7 linked regions of the Macaca fascicularis genome follow. The protein of the gene in region 3 interacts with the protein of the main gene of each other region in a pairwise test. Links are inferred from orthologs where the notes say so. Each region holds a gene or a part of one and is shown on either strand. Other genes may lie near its edges. The genes, in order: CAMK2D, FOXM1, BANP, FHL5, MRRF, CEP76 and LENG1.

Region 1 (3,500 bases), on a different chromosome or scaffold from region 3:
TTGGAATATTGTGGATTTTTTCTTTTTGTCTAATCTCCCCCTATTGTTTTGCCAACAGTAATTTAAGTTTGCACGGAACATCCCCGTAGTTGAAGTGTAAACAATGTATAGGAAGGAATATATGATAAGATGATGCATCACATATGCATTACATGTAGGACCTTCACAACTTCATGCACTCAGAAACATGCATGAAGAGGAGGAGAGGACGGCCCAGGGTCACCATCCAGGTGCCTTGAGAACAGAGAATGCAGAAGTGGCACTGTTGATATTTAGCTGAAAGGAGAAAGGGAGAGGAAGAAATAAATTATATTGTTTTACAAAATATCATCAAATTGCTTTGCCATAGATTTGACTATGCTACAGTTTTATAACTTGGCTAACAAATAGATTGAGAACACTATGTATAAGAGATGTTTGCTTGTGATCATTACAGGAAGAAACACACAATGTTACACAAAGACAGTATTAAAATAGAAAATGAGTATTAATTATTTTTTCACACAAAGCTAAGCTAAAAATAAAGAGACAGGGACCCAGGCTTCAGTCACGTTATTAAATCTAAGTATACATCTTAAGCATTCCTGTTTACTGGACAAATTAGTAAATGAATATAATCTTTTTGCTGAAATAGACTTAAAATTCAAGTTCATCCTTAGTTTTTGTTATTATTATTAGATTCCTTGGGAAATTAAACCTAGAAGTCAATTTAACAAGGAATATAGTCTCAAAAGTAGAGAGAACATGATTACTCTCTTTAATTGGAGCTCTCCTTTGCTGAAAGCAACAGCTGGGAGCACTATTTGTTAAAAGCTCTGATAAGGTTTAGTTCTCTGAATGAGGCAAATATTCACAACAGCACCATACATATCTGAATACTTGTAACCCAAGTCTAAGAAACAACTAATTAAAAACAACAATAAAAGCATGAAGTTAATTACAGTCAACTTTCAATTATCCTCTGGAATTACCCACTTTGTGAGTTTTAAATTTCAGCTTGACTCCTCCTGTGGCCTGTGCTCATGGTCAAGCACCATTATACTCAGTCAGGCACAGCAAATTGATTTACACATTCACCATAGCCAGCTGCTTATAGAATTGCAACCTCTTGAAAGAATGGTTAAGACACCAGAGGATTCTAAAGCTTAATATAAATTAAGTAAGGATAATTGAGAGTTATCTGAACTGACCTAGACATAATTTACTTTTGATGTGAAAACTTCAGGATTCTAACATGACATAATCCACATGTTGGAAAAAATTCATTTCAATGTTTATTACCTTTAAAATAAGGATTATGCTACCAAATAGGGCTGAATGTTAGATTCAAAAGCTCATGCAAAATTGCTATGAATTTTCAAAGACCGTGTATGTTTTTCATTGAATATTATGCAAGAAAAAATATCCTCAAAAGGAAGGAAAACAGCCATGCAGCTTTTCATTCAGCTCCAATCACAAAGTATCACGGAGCAGGATGTTACTTACAAGACCCATATGTGAATGATTTTCAGGCCTTAGATGTTTTGCCACAAAGAGGTGCCTCCTGAGAAGTTTTCTTTCCCATTTGGAATACAGGGTGGCCTATTAAGAGAAGCCCCATTTAAGCCACCTGGCATAAAATGAAGTTTTCTTGAATAGGCTTCATCCCATAAACACTTCAGGGAATTGTAAAAAAACCTAACCCTCTGGTACTGTATGAATGTAACCCCTTCTATATTAACTGGTGATTTGTGCTGTACCTCTTTGGGGTAAAAAACACACAAAAACAGGTGTCTTCATTATCTTCATATTCCTCTTGTGTTTTTCTCTTAATTACATAGCTATGGTTTTGGGAATAAATTTCAGCCTATCGTTTGGTTTTGTTTTTTTTTTTGTCCCTGTTGACCCACTTTTTACAAATCCAACAGTGATATATAAGTAGTAAGTCTATACAGAAGGCCTCTGAAAACCACTGTGGTATGTTATCAAACTAAGAAATCATGATGGATTCTCTGGAGTGAGTTGAATGGCTGTTTGTATGAACCCCCATTCCAAATCCCAAATATTAACAGGTGATCCTGGTGAGATAATTCGGAAAGAGATCAACAGTGGACCAATCTTCTACACTGAGTTTAAACGCTTCTTGTTTTCTTATCACTCCACTTTACTAATAAACCTATTTTCAATTATTCCTCTTTACTCTAGTTGTAACCGGCATTCCTTACCAATAATGTTCTCTCATATTAAACTAAATCCTGATATTGTACTTTTCTTCACGATGCTCCTTTAGCCTGGACTATTCTCCTTTGTTTTTTCTATCTTTCTATGTCTCTAAATTCTACTCATCATTTAAGATTTTGTCCAAAATTCTATCTTATACACAAAGTGTACTTCCAAACTGTTATAAACAGTTTACTACACTGTTCATGAATTTTACTGTATTCTTAAGTTGATGATAAAGTTTATTATATCATTTTTTTCTTTAGAATCAATGATTGACTAAATGAGAATGCATGTTCCTTGAAAGCAATATCTTTTACCTTGTGTTGAATCTGGCGCAGGTTAAGCACCTAGGAGATTCACAATAAATATGTGCCTAATCGCTGACTGGAAAAGCAAATGATATCTGAGGTAGAGTGGTGAGGTGAGAACGACATTGCACTACCTGACAATGGCCTTTTAAAAGGGTCTCTGTAACTGAGCTTTAGGGGATCGTCCATGAAATGAAACTCCTGATAATATATTGGCCATTTTAGAAACTCCACCCTATGCTTTCCTCTGATATCCCCTTCTGTCAATTGAGAAAATGAAGTCACAAATATTTTGCCTTATTATACAAATCCCCTAGATTTAACACTGTGAGATTTTGATATGGTAGTCTCTAGTCCTATCCAAACCTATTGTATACTGCTCTATAGCAAGTTTCAACCCACAGATGGCTGATCTGATTGATCTTTCCAGAGAATCATAAACCTTTCCCGTGAAGTCATTTATTTTCATCAGTGTAACCAACTACTAGCATTAAATAACATATACCACGCTATTAACAATGGAATAAGTAGAAGAAGCTGACCATGGGTGTATTAACAAAGAAGCTGACAGCCTGGGAATATTTACTTGATGGGTACTGTTGGTGACCCCGAGCGATGAAAATGAACATTCTGCCACTTTCCATCCCGACGGTGCCACACACGAGTCTCTTCTGACTGCATTGTCTTTGGCATTCCACTGCCATCCATGTACTGTGTGAGCCTAATATACGCTATGCAGGCGGCATCATCCCCTACCAGGTGTACATGAGGGTTTAGAATAATAGTGTGGATTGGTTTATTGCTTTTGGACAAAGCTGAAAGAGAAAAACATGAAAAGCAAAATTTAGTTTCTATGTAAAGGAAACTAAAACCAGTAATAACTTCAGTTAGGACCAATACATGAAATGCCATTTATTCAGTCAGTAATTAATTAGTTAATTAATCTACTATTTATACTAATCTGGTACTGGGCACTGTACAAAGCAAGGA
Region 2 (4,147 bases), on a different chromosome or scaffold from region 3:
AGACGGTGTCTTCCTCTGTCACCCAGGCTGGAGTGCAGTGGTGTGATCACGGCTCACCATAGCCTCCACCTCTCGGCCTCAGGTCATCCTTCCACCTCAGCCTCCAGAGTAGCTGAGACTACAGGCATGCACCACCACGCGCGGCTAATTTTTAGTAGAGAAGTGGTTTCGCTATGTTGGCCAGGCTGGTCTCGAACTCGTGACCTCAAATGATCCACCCGCCTCGGCCTCCTAAAGTGCTGGGATTACAGGCGTAAGCCACTATGCCCAGCCCACATTTGTTTATTTGATTCTTTTATTTTATTTTATTTTATTTTATTTTTTTAGAGACAGAGTCTCACTTTGTTGCCCAGGCTGGAGAGTGCAGCGGTGCAGTCTTGGCTCACTGCAACCTCCGCCTCCCAGGTTCCAGTAATTCTCCTGCCTCAGCCTCCCAAGTAACTGGGACTACAGGCATGTGCCGCCATGCCCGGCTAATTTTTTTTGTTATTAGTAGTAGAGATGGGGTTTCACCATGTTCGCCAGGTTGGTCTCGAACTCCTGACCTCAGGTAATCCGCCCGCCTCGGCCTCCCGGAGTGCTGGGATTACAGGCGTGAGCCACCGCGCCGGGACTATTTGATTCTTTTAAAATATCAGTGCCCCTTTTCCACGATTGGACTGTGAGCCCGGGGGAAGGAAAGAACCTTGTCTGCCATTGTATCTTCAGGACCTGGCGGGACCTGGCACAGAGCAGGTGCTCAACTAGACTGGTTGACTAAGTAAATAAAGAAAGCACCACCGTCTACCATAGCCGAAGGCTTGGCTTTGGGAGGAGCCAAAGACAGGTCAGTACTTGAAGATTTCGCGCAGAGGTAGGGTTCGTGGGGCCGACATTTTTTTCAAGATGGAAGAAAGCTGAGATAATACACAGCCCTCAAAGAACCCTCAGTCTAATCGGGGGGAGCAGACGATCGTTCACTGTACGAAAACGGGGTACGATTTTCCCCAGGAAGGAAATCAACCGAAGCCGACCTTGGAAGAGGGGAGCAGAGCAGCCCGAGGGGAAGCGGGGGCGTGTCGCCCGGCGTGACTATGGCGGCAGGGAAAGCGGACCCAGGGACCCGGGCCTGTCGCGCCGCTTCCGCACGTCCCCAGACTGTCCCTCCGCTCGCCCACCCACGCGGCGGGGACCCCTCCGGCCCCTCCCAGGCCCCACGGCCACTTCTTCCCCCGCAAGCCGGCCCGCGGCCCGCCTTACCAGCCCGGGCCGGACTGGGCCGCAGCTCCTGTCAGATCGCACAGCCTTCGAGCCCGGAACGCCGAGACAAGGCCGGCGCCGATTGGCGACGTTCCGTCACGTGACCTTAACGCTCCGCCGGCGCCAATTTCAAACAGCGGAACAAACTGAAAGCTCCGGTGCCAGACCCCACCCCCGGCCCCGGCCAGGGACCCCCTCCCCTCCCGGGATCCCCCGGGGTTCCCACCCGGCCCGCACCGCCGGGGACCCGGCCGGTCCGGCGCGAGCCCCCGTCCGGGGGCCCTGGCTCGGCCCGCAGGTTGGAGGAGCCCGGAGCCCGCCTTCGGAGCCACGGCCCAACGGCGGCGGCGACTGCAGTCTGGAGGTGAGCGGGATACAGGAATGGAGTCCCGGGCCTGGCCTGGGCACAGGCGGGGAGCGAGGCCTCCGGGCGCGGAGGTCAGGGCGTCTGGCAGCAGGGCACGGGCCACGAGTGGAGGTTTGGGCCACACGGGAAGAATCTGAGCCCGGGTGCAAATGTTTTCTGCATCCAACCTCCTGGCCGGGGCCGTCTCATTACTTAAAGCGCCCCTTGGCCTTCCCTGGAAGTCTGACCTCTGCACGCTGCCCACGGCCTCGGGAGGGCTGGGGTGGCCTTTCTTAGGCCGGCTGCGGCTGAGATGAACACTGAGCACAATTGTACTACGTTGAGTCAAAGACCAACCTGCACACATACTCCCCTGCTCCCAGGCTCTCACCACTAGGCAGCACTGCCTCCGTCTTACCCATTTGCAGGGCCCTTCTCCTGGGTCCTGAGAATGTAGCAAGATTTCCCCGCTCAGGATGGAGATGGCTCAGAGGACCACTCTGGAAGTTTCCCGGGCAAGAAAGTGTTGGCAATAATAATATCAGGCTGGTCAGAAAGTAGAAGAAAAAATTAAGACCTAGATATCCTGTGGAAAAAGAGGAATAATATCTACTGATCGATGCGGGGAGAGAGGGAAGCCTGGAAAGATCTGAAGTGAAAGTAAAACTGGCCGGGCGCGGTGGCTCACGCCTGTAATCCCAGCACTTTGGGAGGCCGAGACGGGCGGATCACGAGGTCAGGAGATCGAGACCATCCTGGCTAACACGGTGAAACCCCGTCTCTACTAAAAAATACAAAAAACTAGCCGGGCGAGGTGGCGGGCGCCTGTAGTCCCAGCTACTCGGGAGGCTGAGGCAGGAGAATGGCGTGAACCCGGGAGGCGGAGCTTGCAGTGAGCTGAGATCCGGCCACTGTACTCCAGCCTGGGCGACAGAGCGAGACTCCGTCTCAAAAAAAAAAAAAAAAAAAAAAAAAAAAGAAAGTAAAACTGAGATTTGGAGGTAGAGGTGTGGCGGGCCTGTGAACTCTGCAGATGACAAATGTCAAAAAATTACAGTTGCTTTTCAGGGAGAGAATAAGTGTCCTAAAAAAGAGACAGCCAATTCCTCTGTCTCCCAAAGTTCCATGAAATAGAATTATACAATTTTGCTTAATGGTAGAGTATTCCATGTATCTATTAAAATCAACAAAAGGCTGGGTGCAGTGGCTCACGCCTGTAATCCCAGCACTTTGGGTGGCCGAGGCGGGTGGATCATCTGAGGAGTTCAAGACCAGCCTGGTAAACATGGTGAAACCCTGTTTCTACTAAAAATAAATAAATAGATAAAAATTAGCCTGGCGTGGTGGTGGGCGCCTGTAATTGCAGCTACTCGGGAGGCTGAGGCAGAAGAATCGCTTCAACCCCGGAGGCGGAGGTTGCAGTGAGTTGAGATCGCGCCATTGGTCTTGCCTGGGTGACAAGAGCGAAACTTCCTCTCAAAAAAAAAAAAAAAAATTAAAAAAATCAACAAAAGACTTAAAAAGAAAAAAAAAGACTATGCTGTTAGCATTTCAGAACCACCTTAGTGTATTGATGATAGCTCATTCTGGTGGTAAGGAGACAGGGGTTACAGTCTTATTTCTGGAAAAGAAATTAATAAAGTGGCATGCTTAGAAAGTTAAAATATGTATAACCACATGCAAGTACTAAAATGCCACTGTATAAATACAGTACGAATTGTAAAAGAACACATTCTTTTTAAATTATAGCAAGTATAATAGCGTGTGAAATAAATGTCACCCTCTAAAGTTGTTCAGTGAACAAGCTGCACAGCTTTACATGGGCCTTCAATAGAGGTTTCCATTTTATGTGAGGTTTTGTAAACTGGGAGATGATTTTTCCAGTAGTGTGGCAATAGTACAATCTGCCTTTCTTCCCTGATTCTGTGTGCACTGGTCCTATTTACAAAGTAACATAAAAGTTAAAAAGCTTGGCCAGGTGACTTGCGGTGACTCATGCCTGTAATCCCAGCACTTTGGGAGGCCAAGCCAGGTGGATCACCTGAGTTCAAGACCAGCCTGAGCAACATGATGAAACCCTGTCTCTACTAAAAATACAAAAATTAACCGGGTGTGGTGGCAGGCGCCTGTAATCCCAGCTACTCAGGAGGCTGAGGCATGGGAATCGCTTAAACCCAGGCAGCAGAAATTGCAGTGAACTGAGATTGTGCCACTGCACTCCAGCCTGGGTGACAGAGTGAGACTCTGTCTCAAAAAAAAAAAAAAAAAAAAAAAAATTAAAAGGCTTTATCTTAGAATGGATTATGGGATCAGAGTTTTGTCAGGACTCCTAACTACCATATGCTTTCCTATTCTAGCATCTTCCATTCCTGTCCATACAGTCATTGCAAGTGATCTATTTATATTATAGTAGGCAATTATAGAGATTTCCACATATTTGTAGCTATCCCATCCACTTCTGTAGCTAAATATTTTGAAGCTTCAAGAAGGAGATCTTTGTCTATCTCCAGCCCAGTCCCATTTTTACCCTTTGAATTGCTTCTGTCTGCTGTAATTTTAGCC
Region 3 (3,500 bases):
CAAAAAAGAAGGTCCGTGCCTTTAAGCCTGTACCCACTAGATGATTCCGCTCAAAACTCTGAAACTTAAAGATGCAGAATTGTCCCACAGTTCTAACAGGAACCTCTCACAGGTCCTAGGCAAAAGCAGTCAAATCTGATCTACCCAGTGGGAAATTATCCAAAGCCAAGGACTACTGTCGGCTCACAAGCAGCACATGGCCCTGCCTTCGGCCTCATGACTCCTCAGAGGCAGGGAGCGCATCAATCATCACCACCTAAGCCTTTGCAGATGAATTCTCACGTAACGAAACTTTTCAAACTCCATGCCCGCAAGTGCCTGTGGTTAGTCAAAGGTTCCCAGGACCTCAGTCAAAGGCTCTTTACTCTCACTGGAAACTGGTCATCACACCAGGCCTGGAAGAACAGAGAGAGACCCTCGCACTTATTACTCTAACTTTTTAGTTTGTTGAGAAGAAAACAAGTCCAGAAAGGTTACGGGACTTCTCTGGGGTCACAGAGCTAGTTTCGTCATAAGGGCAGCAGACAGGCATGCAGTAACTCCAGTAATGACTCCACAGGTAATGGAACAGCAAGTGACATTTATTTTCTTCTTTGTACTTTGCTGCTTTTTGTATGTGTTGCTTTTTATAATTTTGTATGCATTACTTTTAGAATTAAAATAACTCCTTGTTCATTTTTAAAATATCACCATCAAGCTGGGTGCAGTGGCTCACGCCTATAATCCCAGCACTTTGGGAGGCCGAGGTGAGTAGATCACCTGAGGTCAGGAGTTCGAGACCAGCCTGGCCAACATGGTGAAACCCCTGTCTCTACTGAAAATAGAAAAATTAGCCGGTCATGGTGGCAGGCGCCTGTAATCCCAGCTACTCGGGAGGCTGAGGCAGGAGAATCGCTTGAATCCAGGAGACAGAGGTTGCAGTGAGTCAAGATCATGCCACTGTACTCCAGCCTGGCGACAGAGCAAAACTCTGTCTTAAATAAACAAATAAATAAATAAAGACATCACAATCAATCAACTGCAATGACAGGCCTTATGCAAGTCACAATTTTTGCATTCAGACAGGTAGAGTTAGCACAAGCCATGGTCGGTACACATCAAGTCAGATGATCCTAGAAGTCTTTCTTTTAAATAAAAATAAGGAGAAATTGGAAAGACATACACATCAACAATTTAAAAGCTGCTACAACCAGTAGGATTGTAGAAAATTTTTATTTCTTCTACTTTCTTGACTATCCTGTTAAACTTTATTAGATGTATACTTTTGAGATGAGGAAAGTACTTTAAACCCACAATGAATGCAAACATGCGTGACACACCAAGGTACCTGCAGCTGTGCACACCTTCTCCTGGGTCCAGACTGCAGGCTTTGTACTGGGCAGGCCAAGGAGCTCTGCGCACAGTAGGCTTTTAACAAATACTCAAGAAATCATAGTTCTCAGGCATTTAAGGAACAGAGATGGAACAAAATCAAGATTCGAAATTATTTCTCTAAGCTTTTTTTGGGCCACGGTCTATAAAGAGAGATTTATTGGGGAAGTAGGCTGTCAGAACTTTAATGGTTCTGAAATCACTGGAAATGATGTAACTGGAACAGTTTTCTTTTACAAGATTACAGTGTATGTTTTCTAAAGAAACTGTCATTTGCCTTCTAAACTAGAAACAGGGATTTGTAAAATAATGTGCAGTGATCGTGTGGAAAACTAACCAACAGCACTCCTGAAATGCTGCCTTCATGTTCCCCTGGGACTGCTCACCTCACCCCAAAACTATTTCTATTGCCCTCCCCTTCCAGACTACAACTAGTCTCCACATGTAGTTTTCTCGACTAACAGAGCAAACAGATCATAGGAATGGACATCAGACTTCCTTATGAGAGTTCTGAAAATTCTCTCTTCTGGAGGAATAAATTGTCAGCCTTTCAATTCGAACATTCCTGAAAGAATAACCAGGCAACCGAAACATTCAGTGACTTAGCTGTGGTGGGCTTGTCACTTCAAACTTAACAGAACAATAAAACACATGCCACTTTACAGAAAAAAAAAAGAAGACGACGACGAAGAAGAAATCTCTTTAAAACAGTAAGTGTGGACAAAGTGTTTTCACAGATGAAGAGGTGAAGTTCCTGAAATTTAAGGTTTCATTTCTCAAGGGTCTCCTTTAAACAAGTTTATTATTTCAAAGTAGACATGTGCCTTTAACATCATTTTTTAAAATTACCAGCCTTAGCAAAGGTGTAGAAAAAAACGTGTTCTCAAGCACTGTGAGTGGAAGAATTAGTAAAACATTTCTAGAGAACCTCTCAGTGTCTTAACAAAATTTTAAACACACATAGCAATTTTCCTTCTGGGAACTTCTCTATTTGCCAAGATACATATGCAAGGATCTTCCCTATAGGGTTGTGTATAAAGGAAAAATCAGACAGACTATGCCAGGAGCCCCTGAAGGAAAAAGTCAACTGTGGAGGGGGCACCTGTGAATGAATTCTGCGGAGTTGCTAACAGAGCTGACTTTTCACACACAACATGGTAAGGATCCACGACGCCACACACAGGGGATTACACATATATCATGGTAAGGATCCATGACGCCACACACAGGGGATTACACATATATCATGGTAAGGATCCACGACGCCACACACAGGGGATTACACACACAACATGGTAAGGATCCACGACGCCACACACAGGGGATTACACACACAACATGGTAAGGATCCACGACGCCACACACAGGGGATTACACACACAACATGGTAAGGATCCACGACGCCACACACAGGGGATTACACACACAACATGGTAAGGATCCACGACGCCACACACAGGGATGGGGCAGGGGAGAGGGTGTAGAACACACACACACACCCGAGCAGCAGGAGCAGAGACAGCCCTCGAGACAAAGTGTGACAGGGGCCCCCTCCAGAAGGAACATGGGGCTGAGGCTGCAGGGGCGAGGGAAGGGAGGGGCCGACAATGTTCACATCTCTAGGATTCAAACTTTTTCATATACAGCATGCATTACTTTCACTTCTGCTTAAAGAAAAGAAAATAACTGCAGCAGCTTTTGGTTTTTCAAGAGTAATGAGAATAATATTTCACCTACTGTCCCACAGCTCTGTACCTGGGTGGTCAGGGCTCAGGTCTTCCACTGCAATCTGAACCACATCCGCCAGGTCGTGTTCAGACATCATCCAGAGCACAGGAGAGTGGCCGGTCAACACGCAAGAGTTCCACTCGAAGAGGGGCTGGCTTTTGGTCACCTACCAAACAGAAGCAAAGGAGGAGGAGAGGACATTAACCATCGCCACATGTGAAATGATGAAAACCACGAGCCGTGCACATGTATGCAAGAGGCCGAGAATGTCTGTGGATTTTTACATGCAGGGTTCTTCTTGCCTCAAACCACCAAAAGGTAAGTTTCTTTGAAAATTAACAAATAGTTGAAAACGCCACCCGCTGCCTCATTCCTTAACCACTGGACAAGTCACCCAGGGC
Region 4 (4,174 bases), on a different chromosome or scaffold from region 3:
CTAAAGACCATGCTCTTTGGGTTGCTAATCAAGGTTGTATATGATCTTAATGAAGCTTTTTTGGAGTGGTTCAAGTGAAAGACAGATTGTAATAAGTTGGGAGGGAGAAGGAAACTCAGAATGTTGTAGATTTGGAATGACTTGGTGAATGTAGATTACCCTCTCAGGAAGCAGGGGAACAAATGAAGAGGGTGATGGTCCCAGGCACTTTTACATCTCAAAGACTGCTTTCCTTGCCCATAAAACAAGGAAAATACAGCTAGTACCTGCTTAGCAATGGTGTCCTAAGGATTAAAATCTATTACTAATGAAATATACTTATATCCTTTTGCTGAATCCAAATTTATTGTTGTTAATCACCATATGTTCATTTTCATAATGTCTTAATCAGTAAAGTCAAGTGAATAACAAAACACACAGTTAACTGGCTCTGCGTTTCCCTAGCTCAAGTTCTTTGACTGTATATACCCGAGTTTGACCTTAGAAGATACTAACATTTCACTCCTTTAGCACTTAGAACAAGGACAGTTTAAGTTTGGTCTGGAATTAAGGCAGAATTTCTTCTCTCATCCTGCCTTCCAAACTGAAGAAATGGCCTCAAATGGAGATTCTAAGAGAAAATGTCACTTGCTTTATGAATCAGTGTGCCCCTCTGAGAATACTTATTGTGGATTGGTTTAATATCCAAAACTTTCTTCAGATCCAACTCTTGACATCGCTGTCTACTTTTTGTGTTTCGAAGATTTCAAAAAACCCAATGAGTTTATGCTTTATGAAGTCATACAGCCATGGATGTGATGTCACAATTGTGGCCAGCTCACCAGGAAGCAGGCAGAGCAGGAAAGGCTGGGCCTACACTGCAAGTCCAGAGAGCAGGGAACTACCTTGAGTACTCTACTCAAACTTATGTCTCAGATTTCCCCAATTTCCCAAGAAGGCAGTGATAGAGGCCACAACCCAGGGGGTCATCTCTCAAGGTACCAATAGCTTTGCAGGTAAGAGCATGGGGCCTCATCTCTTTCCAGACAGTCCAAAAGAAAAGCTCAGCAGTTCAGACATTTCCAACCTAAAAGAAAGGTTCTGATCACCACCAGAAAACAAAGAAAACAAAGCCAAAAACAGATTGAGGAAACAGAAAATACATCATGCTTTTAGAGCATTATTTTTATAAATATGCCCTTAATTTAGCCTAGTTAGTGGAAATTTCTCAAGTGTGTATGTGTCTGTGTGAACGTTGTGTATTTTAAACTTTTTGGAGCTTAGCCAGATACTTCGAATGCTAATCCTGGCAGAATTTCCCTTTAAGGATGTCCTGCAGAGAATTTGTTACTCATAGTTTCAAGTAAAAATTGACAAGTAGTGCTTTTTCAGCCCAGTAGGAGTAATGCACATGGTGTAAGACTTGGAGGAAATGCAGGGACCCTTCTGTTTTCTCCCGCAAAGTTGAAAAAGCTACATGCAGTTGGAAAGGATCTTCAGATGGTGCTGGTGACTTTCTGTTCCTTTGGGAGTTAACACGCATATGGATTGGAGGAAAAATAATCAACATATATTCTCCTTTTGTATTGTTTAAATTACAGGAAGAAGCGGCTTTAAGACAAAGTGAGTTCTTTCCCCCAAATGTTTCCTTTGTTTTGTTTTGTGGTATTTCGACTTCTCTAATTTTTTTTTTTTAAGGATGAGAAATTTTTATAAACTTTCCAGTAACTCCTTAAGAGAAAAATTTTGCTTGGCAAAAGTGTATGCCTTTTGAAGTTTCTTGGCCATTTTAGCTAAAGATTATCAAATTTTATATGCTGAGCTTTTCAGATTTATCATTCTCATAACTTGCGTGTGGAGGTTACATAGTGCCAGATAACTCCTTGGAATTGTCTCTTGAGTTTCTCTAATGGTTTTAATGCAGGGTACAGCTTTATTGTTGTAAAAAGAGGAAGAAGAGGAGGGCTCTTGAGATTTTATTTGCCTTCGTTTATTTGAATGAATAATATTATCACTTAGCATATTTTATGACTAGATTTATATTTCAAGAGCACATTTTGAAGTCACTTACAGGTTTTAAGTAAAAGGAGTTAATGAGATTCCTGCTATTTTCAAGAAAAATCTGCCTACTTTCCAGAAGTGGGCATACAAAAATTCATAATCTTAGGTTTCCTAAGGTTAAATTAAAATATCTGTGTTTCCAGCCCACAGAAATATATAATAGACTCTATCAATTTAAAGTGCTACTTCTTGAAACAGAGGTAGTGTTATTCAGGCAAAAAGCATACACGCCATATGTGTTAATGCTTTCTCTCTCACTATTTTAGTCCTATCCTCTTTGGTACCTATCATTCATTTGAAAACCAAATGTAGCTCCTCGGCTGTCATTTCAGACTTCAGAAAATTGGAAATTAAAAAGAATTATTAACAAAATGCATAGCTCTTATACATAAAATGTAAGGAAATCCTTGAGCTCTTTTAGCCCTCATTTCGTATCCACAATACCATCATGTGTAAATACTAGCATTTTTATTAGCAAAGCATATGGATTAAAATTTAACATAAGTATTGCAAACATATGTATCATACAAGATATTTCTTAACATATGTGTTATGATATATGCTTAAAGCCATAATCCAAATTGCTTTAAGGGGAAGGTAAACTGTGGTGTCTGTTTTCTACACTTGTTCTATTTATTCTCACATTATCATTAGTTGCCAAATCTGGGACTGTTCTACCTAAGCAAGAGTAGCAGATTTGTGTTTTAATATAACACCACCTCACTGACAAATTTACCTCTTATTTTCATTACACTTGCCAACATTTTGAGTAAAGCTGAATTAATTTGTATTTATTACACAAGACTGGGTACTTTTCTACTAAAATATTACAAATAAGAGTTTAGAATATTTAGAGATGCTTTAATTTGTTTTTATTTTTATGTTTTCAATTGAGGGGATATGATCTCTTTAGAAATGAAAGCTGAATACTTGGGTCCGCATGGGAAGCTCTGAATCAGATATTAGTTAAACCAGCTTGCATTTCCCTGTTCTCGTAATTATCTTTTTCCTCTCCAATTACCATCATTTTTCTTGGTTGCTTTTTGGTACCCTTGAAAGCTCACTGAAGAAGAGGAAGAGAAGAAAGAGGTAGAGGAAGAGGAGGAGAAGGAGGACTCCTTTTTGCCCAACATGCCTCAAATCCCTGCAAAATAATCAGCTTGAGGCCAGGCATGGTGGCTCACTTCTGTAATCCTAGCTTTGGGAGGCCAAAGTCGTGGGGATCACTAGAGCCCAGGGGTTCAAGACCAGTTGGGGCAACATAGGGAGACTCTATTTAAAATAAAAATAAATAATAAGCTTATTGATGATATACCCTAGTATTTTATATGAACTAGTAAAGCATTCTTATGGGTTTGGATTTACCTTATCTTTACTATATGTCTAAACTTTCACACGGGCTAATTACCCTGATTAGAACATACTAGGGTATGTCAACAGCAAGGTTTACATTCATTAAATAAATAAAGATAGAGAGTCTGTTTGAAAGCAATAGTGTGATGTGGAGAAGACAGTCAAGGTTTTGAAGTGTCATTCATGCTGAGTTTTCTATGAATGAGAGCAGGTGAGTTTGCCTCCCTACCTTAAAGATATAATTAAAACAGCTGTATTACAGAATTTTATATTAGAATAATAATAACAGTAGTCATTTTTATTTTTTTTCTTCTCAAATTCTTCGGTTGCATTTCCAGCACCAATGGACCTTAAATTTATCTCACTTGATTTTTAGCAAAGCTTTGAGCTATTCCTTTGCATATTCATTTTGTCAAAGGAGTATTTACCAAATGGATCCTGAGTAGATTATTTTGATAAATTCAGGTTGTCTCCTCACATTTAAAAATATACCTTTTTGTATTTTTACAATTTCATTGCAATTGTAATCCTCTAAAGATGGTGGTGTGGAAGTGGAGTGGAGAAATATGCTTCTGGGGCTTGTTTTCCAGTTTGATTCTGTTTAATTATTTCTTACAATTGTTCATAAAACAATTTAAGTAACATGTCATAAGTCACATGACTTCTAAGAATTTTCTTCTTTTTTCTTTTTTGCTTTTATTATTACTATAGACATATAACTGTACATATCTATGGGGTACAATGTGATGTTTGTATACATGTATACAACAAATTATCGCAT
Region 5 (3,500 bases), on a different chromosome or scaffold from region 3:
AGTGTTTTATATGCATAGTATAGCAGTTAATAACATAGACTCTGAAGCTGGATTGCCTGAATTCAAATCTTAGGCAGATTTTTGCTTCTGTTTTCTTATCTGTAAAGTGGGAATAATCATAGTACTTCAGGGTTATCATGAGGCTCAAATGAGTTAACGTGTGTAAGCCACTTAGAATAGTTTCTGTCACGTAGTCATTGTTATATAAATGTTAGGTATTGTTGTCATTATTGTTATCTTTTTAAAGCCTCATTAATATCACTATGATGATGATGTGGAAGCTGTAGCTCAGAGAGGCTAAATGACCTCCCCAAGGTCACACAGCTAGTAAGTGGAGGAATTGAGATTCCAGTTCCAGACTGCGTCCAAAGCTCAGACACTTCCCCACATTGCTTCTATGTATAGCTTAATTTTGTTGGCGAATACTTGGGATCTCAACAAATTTTTCTTCAACTTTAATTCTTTTATCTGTGCTGAACAGAATGTTAATTTGTACACCCTTAAGGTAAAGGACCTAAAGGACTGCCTTTATTGAACTTCCACTTTGAAATTTTCTGACTTCTGCGCAATTAAAATCTACGCCTTACGCGTTTCAGCAATGTGGTTTATTTATAGAGTTGTCTTCCGGTTCACGTGTACTGGGTCTGCTTTTGGGTGCTGCGTTTTCTGTCAAAGGTTGTTTATTTCTAACCCATTTTGATTTCCTGTTGCTTTGTGAGTTGGTATTATGACCTGCAACAGGAACACCAGGAAACCTATCTTAAATGGAGCAGCCAGATTGAGATCCTGTAGACTAAAATAAAAAACTACTCATTATTCTACAGCCATATTTGGTTGTAAGTATGAATTAGGCATTGGTTTTATTAGGGAAAAACCTAGATATAGAAACTTCACTCTGAGCCAAACCTCTGTGAACAGTTCTGCTAAAATAGAGCTTGGCTATTAGCTCCATGTCCTTGGACAGTGACTTAATCTCTCTGAACCTCAGTTTCAACGTCTGTAAAATGGGGATTATTATATGTTCTTTGCGGCATTATTGAGAGAATTAAATGAAATAATATGGGTAAAGCAAACAGTCCAAACTTGACCTCAATTAATAGTAGCTATTGATACTAATAAAGAAGAAAAATATTCCTTTTTTCATCAAATCTGTTTTTATAGACTTCATACACTGATCACTAACTTCTAGTATCCCTTACTATTAAAAATTCCATCAAGAGAAGTTATTTGTCTTTGTGCTACTCATTTGCTTTAAAAATAATAGCCATCATTTATTAAGCTGCTATATTCCTGGCACTATGTTAGTTGTTTACATGTATTCATTATTTCATTTTATTTTAAGTTCAAAGTTATTTTTATCATTGATGAGGAAAGTGATGCTCAGAAGAGTAAATTGCCTAAAGTTGAAATTTACATCCAGGTCTAATTGTAGGCTATTTTGTACATCATTATTAACATACAAGGTTTCTTTATTGTGTCTGACCCTGACATAATAGTTTTTGAGACCCGGCATAGTGGCTCACGCCTGTAATCCTAGCAATTTGGGAGGCCAAGGCGGGTGGATTTCCTGAGCTCAGGAGTTCACGACCAGCCTGGGTAACATGGTGAAACCCCGTCTCTACTAAAAATACAAAAAAATTAGCTGGGCATGGTGGTGTGTGCCTGTAATCCCAGCTACTTGGGAGGCTGAGGCATGAGAATTGCTTGAACCCGGGAGGTGGAGGTTGCTGGGAGCCAAGATTGCGCCACTGCACTCCATCCTGGGCAACAGAGTGAGACTCAGTCTCAAAAGATAATAAAGATAATATTTTTTAAAAAGTTTGAAAGAAAAGGTGATAGCTTTCAACAGGTATTATTTTGGGGGGCTTCTGCTGTTTGCTAGGTACTGTGTCAAGGGCTTTACTTGCGTAACCTCATTAATTATTCCCAACCCTAAGAAATGAGTACAATTATTCCCATTTTACAGTTGAAGAAATCAACGATTAGAAATATTCAGGAGTATTTAGTCAGTAATGGAGCTAGGATTGGCTTCCAGGTCTTCCTGACAGCAAAGCCCATGTTATTCATTCCATTATGTTGGATCAAAATTTTAGGATGGGATTTTTTAAAAAACATAAGATGTGGGACTGTTACTCAAAGGAAGCAGCTTCCAGGTATTTGATACTAATTGTTCTTAATTTTTAGCTGAGCCATAGCAACATTACTGGCAGAAGCTATTAATGATATATTTGTCAGTTAGCTAGGGCTGTGTTATATCCTGAGGTAGTTGTAGGCAATGGCATCTTTCCATGGTCAAAGACCTCAGATGTAGAATGCGTAACTTGTGTTAACACAGTAGAGAGTGGCATTTTCCAGAGCTCTAGTTTTATACCATGGAAGACCTCAAACCTCAATCATGCTTTAGACTCACATTAAAGGGCATCCTAATTGGTAATCAGTGCGTAAGGAACCAAAGAAAATTTTAATTAAATGCTGTCGTGTGAATTTTTCCAGTCATTTTATGCCTGTTGAGATGGTTTTCTTATTTAAAGTCCTCTTCTAGTGCTCTGCCTTCTCTCTTTAAACTTTATCAAGATTTTGTGCTTTTCTCATATAAGGGTTTAATTAGAATCATTAAAATTTTAGTCTGCTGCATATTTGCTTAATGGGCATTTTGGTGCAGTGGAAAGAACTTGGGGTTTGGAGTCCAAAGTGGGGAAGTTACTTAAATCTCTGTAAGCCTTAGTTTCTTCATTCTGTAAAATGAGGCAAATAATACTTTCTTCTAGGGCAGTTGGGAAAAGGATTAGAGATAATGTATTTAAATTGTCTAGTACTTAGCTCAGTTTATAGGAATTGCTTGATAATTAGTACGAATTATCTGAAGTTGCAATACGGTCTCTTTTACTTAGATCTGCTTTTTGTCTTATTCTTTTTAGTGGATGTTTCCAAGGATCGTCTTCAGTCATGGCCTTGGGATTAAAGTGCTTCCGCATGTTCCACCCTGCCTTTCGCAATTATCTTGCAGCCTCTATCAAACCCGTTTCAGAAGTTACACTGAAGACAGTGCATGAAAGACAGCATGGCCATAGGCAGTACGTGGCCTATTCAGCTGTACCAGTCCGCCATTTCGCTACCAAGAAAGCCAAAGGTAGAGACATGTGATGTTCTCTCCTACTTCGCCCCTTTCTTAAATTTGGCCCTTGAATTATAGCTGGCAGGTATCTCAGATGTACTGAATTTCTCCCCTTGCTAACATGAGGAAATGGGGCCTCAGCTATTTCATTTCATTAACTTAAAAGGTTACAGTGGCAGAGATGGTGTTACAACCCAGTGCCTGTTTTCTTATTACCATGCTGCCTCATTTGTTTTCTTAGTAGCTCAGAAAATGCCTAATTTCTTTCTTTTAGATTTAGAGTTAGAGGTATAAGTGCCAAGCGAGCCAGAATGCTTGTAGCAGGGATCAATATATTGTCTCCATATAGGAAGATACATGTTGGAAGTATAATTAAGACCAGAAG
Region 6 (3,500 bases), on a different chromosome or scaffold from region 3:
ACAGCGGATATGATATAGTGGTTATTGGGTGACTGATCATAGGTCAGGTGACTAAGGTAGGGAAAGGGTCTGAACGGCAGGAAGTAACCACCCACACAAAGATTGGGGCTGAGCTTCCAGCATTGAGAACAGCCTAGAACAAAAGCCCCTACGGAGGAACGAAAGCGTCGTGTGGCTGGAGTGTAGTGGGCTGGAGAGAGAGGAGAAGATGAGATAGTCAGGCCAGCGTTCATAGGCCGGGCAGGTATTTTGCAATGTGATGGAGAATGAAGTTTTTTTTTTGTTTTGTTTTGTTTTTTTTTTTTTTTTGAGACAGAGTCTCACTCAGTCGCCCAGGTTGGAGTGCAGTGGCGCAATCTCTGCTCACTGCAAGCTCCGCCTCCCGGGTTCACGCCATTCTCCTGGCTCAACCTCCCGAATAGCTGGGACTACAGGCGCCTGCCACCACGCCCGGCTAATTTTTTTTGTTTTTAGTAGAGACGGGGTTTCACCGTGTTAGCCAGGATGGTCTCGATCTCCTAACCTCCTGATCCGCCCTCCTCGGCCTCCCAAAGTGTTGGGATTACAGGCGTGAGCCACCACGCCCGGTCGAGAATGAAGTGTTTTAAACAAGAGAATGACAGTGTGTTTTGTTTTGTTTTGTTGAGATAGAGTCTCACTCCATCGCCCAGGGTGGAGTAAGGTGGCATGAACGCGGCTCACTGCAACCTCTTCCTCCCAGTTTTAAGCAATTCTCCTGCCTCAGCCTCCTGAGTAGCTGGGATTACAGACATGTATCACCATCCCCAGCTAGTTTTTGTATTTTTTGTTGAGACGGGGTTTCACCATGTTGGCCAGGCTGGTCTTGAACTCCTTACCTCAAATGATCCACCTGCCTTGGCCTCCCAAAGTGTTGGGATTCAGGAGGCTGAGGCAGAAGAATTGCTTGAATGTGGGAGGCAGAGGTTGCAGTGAACTGAGATCACGCCACTGCACTCCAGCCTGGGCGCCAGAGCGAGACTGCATCCCGCCAACCAAAAAAAAAAAATTCTGTCTTGGGAGGAAAAAAAGGTGACTTATGACTATTGTATGGAGACTGGCTTGGACTAGGGGTAAGTGTAGAAACAGGGAAGTCAGAAGGCTCTTATAGAAGATGATGATGACTCAGATTAGGGTGGTAATGATGTAGAGAAGTAGATAAATTTGTTACATATTTGGTAGTAATTAAGGATAATGAATAGAAATTGAAAAATATTTTTTTAAATTTCAAGCTTGCTTTGGAACGTCAGAAAACTGCAGAGAAAGAGCGATTATTTCTTGTATATGCCAAGCAGTGGTGGAGAGAATATTTGCAAATTCGACCCTCACACAACTCACGACTCGTTAAGATTTTTGCACAGGTTTGTAAATTATATTAGAATAATTTTATGCCTGTATTTGAGATTTACTGTTACGTGTGTAAATTTCGTTTAATATTTATTTGTAAAATGTATTCCAAAAAATAAAAGTGTATTTGTAAAATAAAATGCTGATTTTGTAATATTTTCTTTAACTGCATAGGTGAGTGGCAAGATCAATCTATGTCTTATTTTACTTTCAATTTCAATTATTGTGGGTTTTTGAAAAATCAGCTTTCTCAGGTTGAATCTGTTATTGTGTTTTAAACCCTTTCTGAATATATTTGATTTAAAGTAGATGAAAATCCATTTTGTTTAACTTGGAATGTGTATTTGCTTGATATTTAGTGCTAAATAATTAACCATTTGGACACTCTGCAGGTTATATGTAAATCCAGCTCTTGTGTGCAGAACCGGGGGGCTCTGGGCATATATATTTTTTTTGTTAGGGTTTTAAAAAAAATTCTATATAACCATGACCTCTAAGCCAGTGACCAGTAATGTTTAACTGAAGCATTTCAACTATATATCTCTGCCTCCATTTTTCCTGAGTCCTAAACCCATTTTTTCTCTTTTACAGACCAACATAAATTATATGGTCAGGGTCACTTATTTTTTGTAACTCCTAAGGAACAGTTCAAATATTTTGTATATATTCAGCCTCATATAGATGCTTTCATATAAGTATAGTGTAGTATATTAAGTTTCTCTGATCCTGTGCATCCATCCAGCTTTACCCTACTTTCCCTAGATTTTGGAACAGGCTAAAAGTGGTTTAGTTTCCAGATGGGGAGCTTGGGAATGAGAGGTTGACTAGAGGTGGGAATAAGGGAAATGGCTTCTGACTTTCTGATAGCGTTGTTTATATATTGAATGACTGGTTGGCAAGGTAACAGCAATATCAGGACAAGGGCAAGGAGAAACCAATCAAAATATAACTGGCTTCCTGGCTGGGCACAGTGGCTCACGCCCGTAATTCCAGCACTTTGGGAGGCCGAGGCAGGTGGATCACCTGAGGTCAGGAGTTCAAGACCAGCCTGGCCAACATGGCAAAACCTTGTCTCTACTAAAAATACAAAAATTAGCCAGGCGTGCTGGCGGGCATCTGTAATCCCAGCTACTCAGGAGGCTGAGGCAGGAGAATTGTTTAACCTGGGAGGCAGAGATTGCAGTGAGCCGAGATCACGCCATTGCACTCCAGCCTGGGTGACGGAGTGAGACGGTCTCACGACAATAACAACGACAAAAAATATACACACATATATAAATAAACACAGATATGTGTTTTAAAAACTGGCTCCGTGCTGTCTATATAAATGAGGCATTTCTTCGTTGCCATGTGGAATTAGGAACTAGAGAGGACTCAGGATGGAGTAAGGCAGTGAATCAGAGAAATGGTAGGATCAAAGAGGAGGAAAAAGTTGCGACGCACTAAGGAAGTCGAGGACGTGGGGTTTTCTTTTACGAAATATTACTTAAATGAATTCCACTCTCTGAGAATTCATTGTAAGATTTGAACCATAGAAGGTAATTTAGTCTCATAGTAACCATATAAGATTGTCAAGTGGCCAGGCATTGGCTCTTTTTGTAAACAGTATGAAGGTTAGAGAAGAGAACGCTCTTTTCAAGGCCAAACAGCAACTCAGTCATGGCAAAGCCTGTATTAAACTGGAGTTTTTACTGGTGCCTTTTTAGTTTGTGCCACCTCTTTCCATACACAGAGTAAATAAAATGCTGATTTAATTTAGATTCGCCAGACCTGTTTCTTGCTGCTGCTTCCTGTATTTGACTAGTTATGAAATTAAAGAACAACAATATAAAGCAATCTAATTATAAAAACAATATTGCTTTTATAGATGAAATATACGTAAATATATATAGATGATATACAGATATATCCTGCCTTTAGAATGTAAAACTTTTTCTAGAGTGTTTTTTGAAATTTTGCTTTCAATTGACTTGGTTAACGATTTTTTATTTTTTAGCTTGTGGGGATATATTTAGATAATATTAGAATATTGCTATAATAAAATGATGTATCTTACATTCTAAGATGCTACTATTGATGATTGACTTAGGCAAATGCTTCCACTTCTTATGTACTCATCTTTTCTTGCCTGTTAG
Region 7 (3,953 bases), on a different chromosome or scaffold from region 3:
GCGCCCCTTCTGCTGATCTCCAGGTGAGGTGGGCCAGACTTCTGGGTCTGGGTTTGAATGCGTGTGATCTGGGGGCCACCACCTGCGTCCAAGAGAGGAAAGGCTTGGGGGTGGGAGCAGGCGATGTACTGAGTCTGAGGGAGGAGGCCTAGGCTCCTGGACTGCTGGGTCCGAAGGAGGAGGTGGGCGGGACTTAGGACTCCTGGATCTGAACGCGGAGGTGCTGGGAGACTGAACTCCTTGAGCCTGGACGAGGAGGGACTTAGGGGTCCACATCCCTGACTTCGAAGAGCGTGTCAGGAGTGGCTTCCGTTCCTGTCTCCTCCAGCATCCTGATGGCGTACACTGTGGCTCGGGCTAACTCCTACGGACGCCTCATCTCTGAGCTCAAACGTCAGAGGGAGACGGTGAGCCAGGCGGGTCCCTGAGAGGGCCCCCGGGGAACACGGAGAGGGGCTGGGGAAGAGGGCTGTCACACCTCCACCTCTCTTTGCCGCAGGAGGCGCAGAATAAAGTCTTCCTGGCACGGCGCGCTGTGGCGCTGACCTCCACCGAACCGGCTCTTTGACCCCCGCAGCTCACGCCCCACTTTCAGACCCCAGGCCCATTGTAAGCCTAGGTCACAACATCTGTAAACTAGGAGAACTGGAGAAGACTCCACGCCCTTCCAGCTTTGGTATCTGGAGATTTCCAGGGCCCCTCGCCGCCACGTCCCTGACTCTCGGGTGATCTTTCTTGTATCAATAAATACAGCCGAGGTTGCTGAGCGCGCTTTGAAATCTGCGTCCTGAAGGTGGGGGCAGGGCTACCGCAGGGCAGGAGCCAATCAAATGTATGGGCATGTTTGTCGGTGCGGAGCGCACTTCCGCAAGGAGACTTGACGGTCATGTCGACCAATCGACGGCCGCATCTGGTAGCATCGGGGCGGGCCAACTTATGATTGGTTCAGATCTGTGATAAGAGGCGGTTGCTAGGGGATACCACGAGCCGAACGCCTAACATTCGCTGTGAAAAGGACGTCTCAGCCAATCACCTGTCGTTACAGGCCAGGGGGCCGTACCAACTAATTCGGAACCAATCTGCGGTCGAAGTAGGGACAAGAGGAAGGGGGGCATCCTCTCGCCAATCGGAAGTGCAAAGAGGCGGGCGTGCCAGTCCCTGGACAGCTACGACGCCATGAATATCTTGCCCAAGAAGAGCTGGCACGTCCGGAACAAGGACAATGTCGCCCGCGTGCGGCGTGACGAGGCCCAGGCCCGGGAGGAGGAGAAGGAGCGTGAGCGGAGGGCGCTGCTGGCTCAGCAAGAGGTAAGCTCGGAGGCCGGCCGGGCTGACCGCCGGAGCCCAGCGCGCACGCGCCGCGGTTGGGGGCCGGAAGCGGAAGCGTTGCGCAGGCTCAGTGTGCCCCGTGTGAAATTCGGGACCAGGCGCCGATCCCGTTTTCGAGGACGTTGCTCTGCAAACCTTGTGGCCACTTCCACGAAACCTCCCTTGATCTCGCCTTCGTCTTAGTTTCCCCCCACTGATGTATTTCACATGGCTGGAACAGTGTCTAGCACAAAAGAGCAGCTTAAAAACATTTAATGAATACATGAGCGCTTGGACAGTTCAAGGAAATTCGGATCACTTTTTAGTTTGCCTGCGCAGTTTATTTATTGAGCACCTATTGTATGCTAACTACATGCAGAGCGCCTGACTTGCGGAATCCCCAGGAGGCACTGTTCGTTCTTAGAGGGGCACTGTCATCTCCGTTGCACGGAGTGAGATGGCTTCAGTGAGGGGAAGGCACATTTAAGGAGAGGGGGACAGCCAGGCTCCACGCCATCGGGCGAGCCCTTTCCTGCACCGCCCCCTAGACACATACACACAAACACGGGCTTTCTGTATGGCTCCTTAAATCTGTTTGGTGTACACCCAACTTTCAGTTCCTTAGCTAGTCTGATCCTCCACAGTGGGTGGGAGGTAGTCTGGGTTTTTAGAATCTCAGTAGGCTGCTGAGCGCTGTTTGAAATCTGCGTCCTGAAGGCGGGGGACAGGGCTTCAGCAGTCGACTTGGGGTAGTGACTTGGAGCCATGGCTAGAATTCAGATCGTCTGGCCTAATGCAGTTTGGTCTACCTTTATGGCTGTTTTAATTGTCTCACTTGAGGTTAGGAACCCCTTTGGTTTAGGCCAGGGACCTCCTTCCAGCCATCCTTGATGACCCGTGGTTTACGATTTGAAAGGCAGTTTACAAAACCCAGGCGTTGCCTCATCTGCCTACCCTCACCCCCAGCTAGGACAGGTGCCTCTTTTAAGCGTCTAGTGCTCCCTTTCTTATAACCCCAGCACCCTGGACTGCCATTTTCTGTGGTGGGCACCAGACTCACAGTTCTTGAATCACCTCTAGGTTCTGAATGCCCTGCCTATAACTTTCTCCCCAGGCCCGTACAGAATTCCTACGAAAGAAAGCCAGACATCAGAACTCACTGCCTGAGCTTGAAGCAGCAGAGGCGGGAGCCCCAAGTTCTGGCCCTGTGGACCTGTTTCGGGAGCTGCTGGAGGAAGGGAAAGGAGTGATCAGAGGCAATAAAGAGTACGAGGAAGAAAAGCGACAGGAGAAAGTAAGCTGGCCTCACCCACTTCATTAGAGGAGCCATGAATCGAGTTGGGGGGAGAGGGCACTTTAGCCACTGCTTGTGATCAAGGTCAAACGAGAACGAACACACAGAATTTAGAACCATACCAAAGCATGACACTTAAGAAGTGTTGCCATCTGGGCACCCACAGGGCTTGGAGGTAGATGCTAGAGGTCCCCAGCTGCCAGGCAAACTGCTCAGTTCTCAAAACTGGAGGGGTCTGAAACCTTGATAGGCTTTTAAAAATGTAAATCAGCCAGCTGTGGCTCATGCCTGTAATCCCAGCACTTTGGGAGGCTGAGGCAGGTGGATCACCTGAGGTCAGGAGTTCAAGACCAGCCTGGTCAACATGGTATCTCTAAGAATACAAAAAAATAAGCCAAGTGTGGTGGTGCACGCCTGTAATCCAGCTACTTGAAGGCTGAAGCAGGAGAATCGCTTGACCTGGGAGGTGGAAGTTGCAGTGAGCTGAGATTGCGCCACTGCACTCCAGCCCGGGTGACAGAGCGAGACCCCATCTCAAAAAAAAAAAGAAAAAAAAAAAAAAAGGCGAATCATTCGCCTCTTGCCTTTTGGCTAAGATCAAGTGTAAAAAGTATGTCTGGTCGTGCATGGTGGCTCACACCTGTAATCCCAGCACATTGGGAGGCCAAGGTGGATGGATCACCTGAGGTCAGGAGTTCAAGACCAGCCTGGCCAAACATGGCAAAACCCCGTCTGTACTAAAAATACAAAAATTAGCCGGGCATGGTGGTGCGTGCCTGTAATCCCAGCTACTAGGGGGGCTGAGGCAGGAGGATTGCTTGAACCTGGGAGGCAGAGGTTGCAGTGAGCCGAGATGGTGCCACTACACTCGAGCCTGGGCAACAGAGCGAGACTGCATCTCAAAAAAAAACAGGTACATGAGCTCTTGTCACTCACCTGCTGTCTCTGGACTTGTTGACCCCACCCATGGCTCCTCTGCTTTGCTTGATCCCTTCAGGCTTCTCTTCAAGTCTCTCTGCAAAGATGCCTGCCTCTGAACACTCAAGTGGCTCCACTTGTCCCCTCCTTCCCCTGCTGTTACCTGCCACTGTCCCCCCAGGGGGAACTTGGCCTCTGTTGGTGTCTTCCATCCCCAGCACCTGGTACAACTGGTTCATGACAAGCCTTAGGTACCTGTTTGCTTAGATTCCTATGTCAGGGAGACACACCTGACACCTTGAAAGATTATATCCCATCTCTTGTATTTCCTGGCCCCCTCAGGAGAGGCAAGAGAAAGCTCTGGGCATCCTGACATACCTGGGCCAGAGTGCAGCGGAGGCACAGACTCAACCCCCTTGGTACCAGCTACCCC

Evidence for each region.
Region 1: the proteins of BANP (region 3) and CAMK2D interact in binary tests that used the Homo sapiens proteins (3 or more experiments, as listed by UniProt). The two-hybrid records come from large-scale screens. The link is inferred for Macaca fascicularis from reciprocal best matches to the Homo sapiens genes BANP and CAMK2D.
Region 2: the proteins of BANP (region 3) and FOXM1 interact in binary tests that used the Homo sapiens proteins (3 or more experiments, as listed by UniProt). The link is inferred for Macaca fascicularis from reciprocal best matches to the Homo sapiens genes BANP and FOXM1.
Region 4: the proteins of BANP (region 3) and FHL5 interact in binary tests that used the Homo sapiens proteins (3 or more experiments, as listed by UniProt). The two-hybrid records come from large-scale screens. The link is inferred for Macaca fascicularis from reciprocal best matches to the Homo sapiens genes BANP and FHL5.
Region 5: the proteins of BANP (region 3) and MRRF interact in binary tests that used the Homo sapiens proteins (3 or more experiments, as listed by UniProt). The two-hybrid records come from large-scale screens. The link is inferred for Macaca fascicularis from reciprocal best matches to the Homo sapiens genes BANP and MRRF.
Region 6: the proteins of BANP (region 3) and CEP76 interact in binary tests that used the Homo sapiens proteins (3 or more experiments, as listed by UniProt). The two-hybrid records come from large-scale screens. The link is inferred for Macaca fascicularis from reciprocal best matches to the Homo sapiens genes BANP and CEP76.
Region 7: the proteins of BANP (region 3) and LENG1 interact in binary tests that used the Homo sapiens proteins (3 or more experiments, as listed by UniProt). The two-hybrid records come from large-scale screens. The link is inferred for Macaca fascicularis from reciprocal best matches to the Homo sapiens genes BANP and LENG1.

What each region holds. Positions count from the first base shown.
Region 1 is NC_088379.1:118,990,660-118,994,159, forward strand, and holds part of CAMK2D (calcium/calmodulin-dependent protein kinase type II subunit delta), read right to left. Parts: intron 3,326-3,500; coding exon 3,097-3,325; coding exon of another isoform or gene 3,093-3,096; exon of another isoform or gene 3,053-3,092; intron 1,582-3,052; coding exon 1,515-1,581; 3' UTR 1,486-1,514; intron 277-1,485; coding exon of another isoform or gene 273-276; 3' UTR 1-272. UniProt on the Homo sapiens protein: Calcium/calmodulin-dependent protein kinase involved in the regulation of Ca(2+) homeostatis and excitation-contraction coupling (ECC) in heart by targeting ion channels, transporters and accessory proteins involved in Ca(2+) influx into the myocyte, Ca(2+) release from the sarcoplasmic reticulum (SR), SR Ca(2+) uptake and Na(+) and K(+) channel transport.
Region 2 is NC_088385.1:3,746,744-3,750,890, reverse strand, and holds the start of FOXM1 (forkhead box protein M1), read left to right. Parts: upstream 1-1,347; 5' UTR 1,348-1,603; intron 1,604-4,147. UniProt on the Homo sapiens protein: Transcription factor regulating the expression of cell cycle genes essential for DNA replication and mitosis. Plays a role in the control of cell proliferation. Also plays a role in DNA break repair, participating in the DNA damage checkpoint response.
Region 3 is NC_088394.1:83,878,931-83,882,430, reverse strand, and holds part of BANP (protein BANP), read right to left. Parts: intron 3,266-3,500; coding exon 3,109-3,265; intron 1-3,108. UniProt on the Homo sapiens protein: Controls V(D)J recombination during T-cell development by repressing T-cell receptor (TCR) beta enhancer function. Binds to scaffold/matrix attachment region beta (S/MARbeta), an ATC-rich DNA sequence located upstream of the TCR beta enhancer.
Region 4 is NC_088378.1:78,768,504-78,772,677, reverse strand, and holds the start of FHL5 (four and a half LIM domains protein 5), read left to right. Parts: upstream 1-1,374; 5' UTR 1,375-1,602; intron 1,603-4,174. UniProt on the Homo sapiens protein: May be involved in the regulation of spermatogenesis. Stimulates CREM transcriptional activity in a phosphorylation-independent manner.
Region 5 is NC_088389.1:35,718,160-35,721,659, reverse strand, and holds part of MRRF (ribosome-recycling factor, mitochondrial), read left to right. Parts: intron 1-2,918; 5' UTR 2,919-2,946; coding exon 2,947-3,130; intron 3,131-3,500. UniProt on the Homo sapiens protein: Responsible for the disassembly of ribosomes from messenger RNA at the termination of mitochondrial protein biosynthesis. Acts in collaboration with GFM2. Promotes mitochondrial ribosome recycling by dissolution of intersubunit contacts.
Region 6 is NC_088392.1:80,750,057-80,753,556, reverse strand, and holds part of CEP76 (centrosomal protein of 76 kDa), read left to right. Parts: intron 1-1,250; coding exon 1,251-1,379; intron 1,380-3,500. UniProt on the Homo sapiens protein: Centrosomal protein involved in regulation of centriole duplication. Required to limit centriole duplication to once per cell cycle by preventing centriole reduplication.
Region 7 is NC_088393.1:61,962,034-61,965,986, reverse strand, and holds the start of LENG1 (leukocyte receptor cluster member 1), read left to right. Parts: upstream 1-1,153; 5' UTR 1,154-1,176; coding exon 1,177-1,308; intron 1,309-2,422; coding exon 2,423-2,602; intron 2,603-3,358; exon of another isoform or gene 3,359-3,455; coding exon of another isoform or gene 3,456-3,515; intron 3,516-3,599; coding exon of another isoform or gene 3,600-3,761; exon of another isoform or gene 3,762-3,771; intron 3,772-3,862; coding exon 3,863-3,953. Other genes in the region: voltage-gated chloride channel TMC4, read left to right, coding at 1-23, 329-407, 500-568.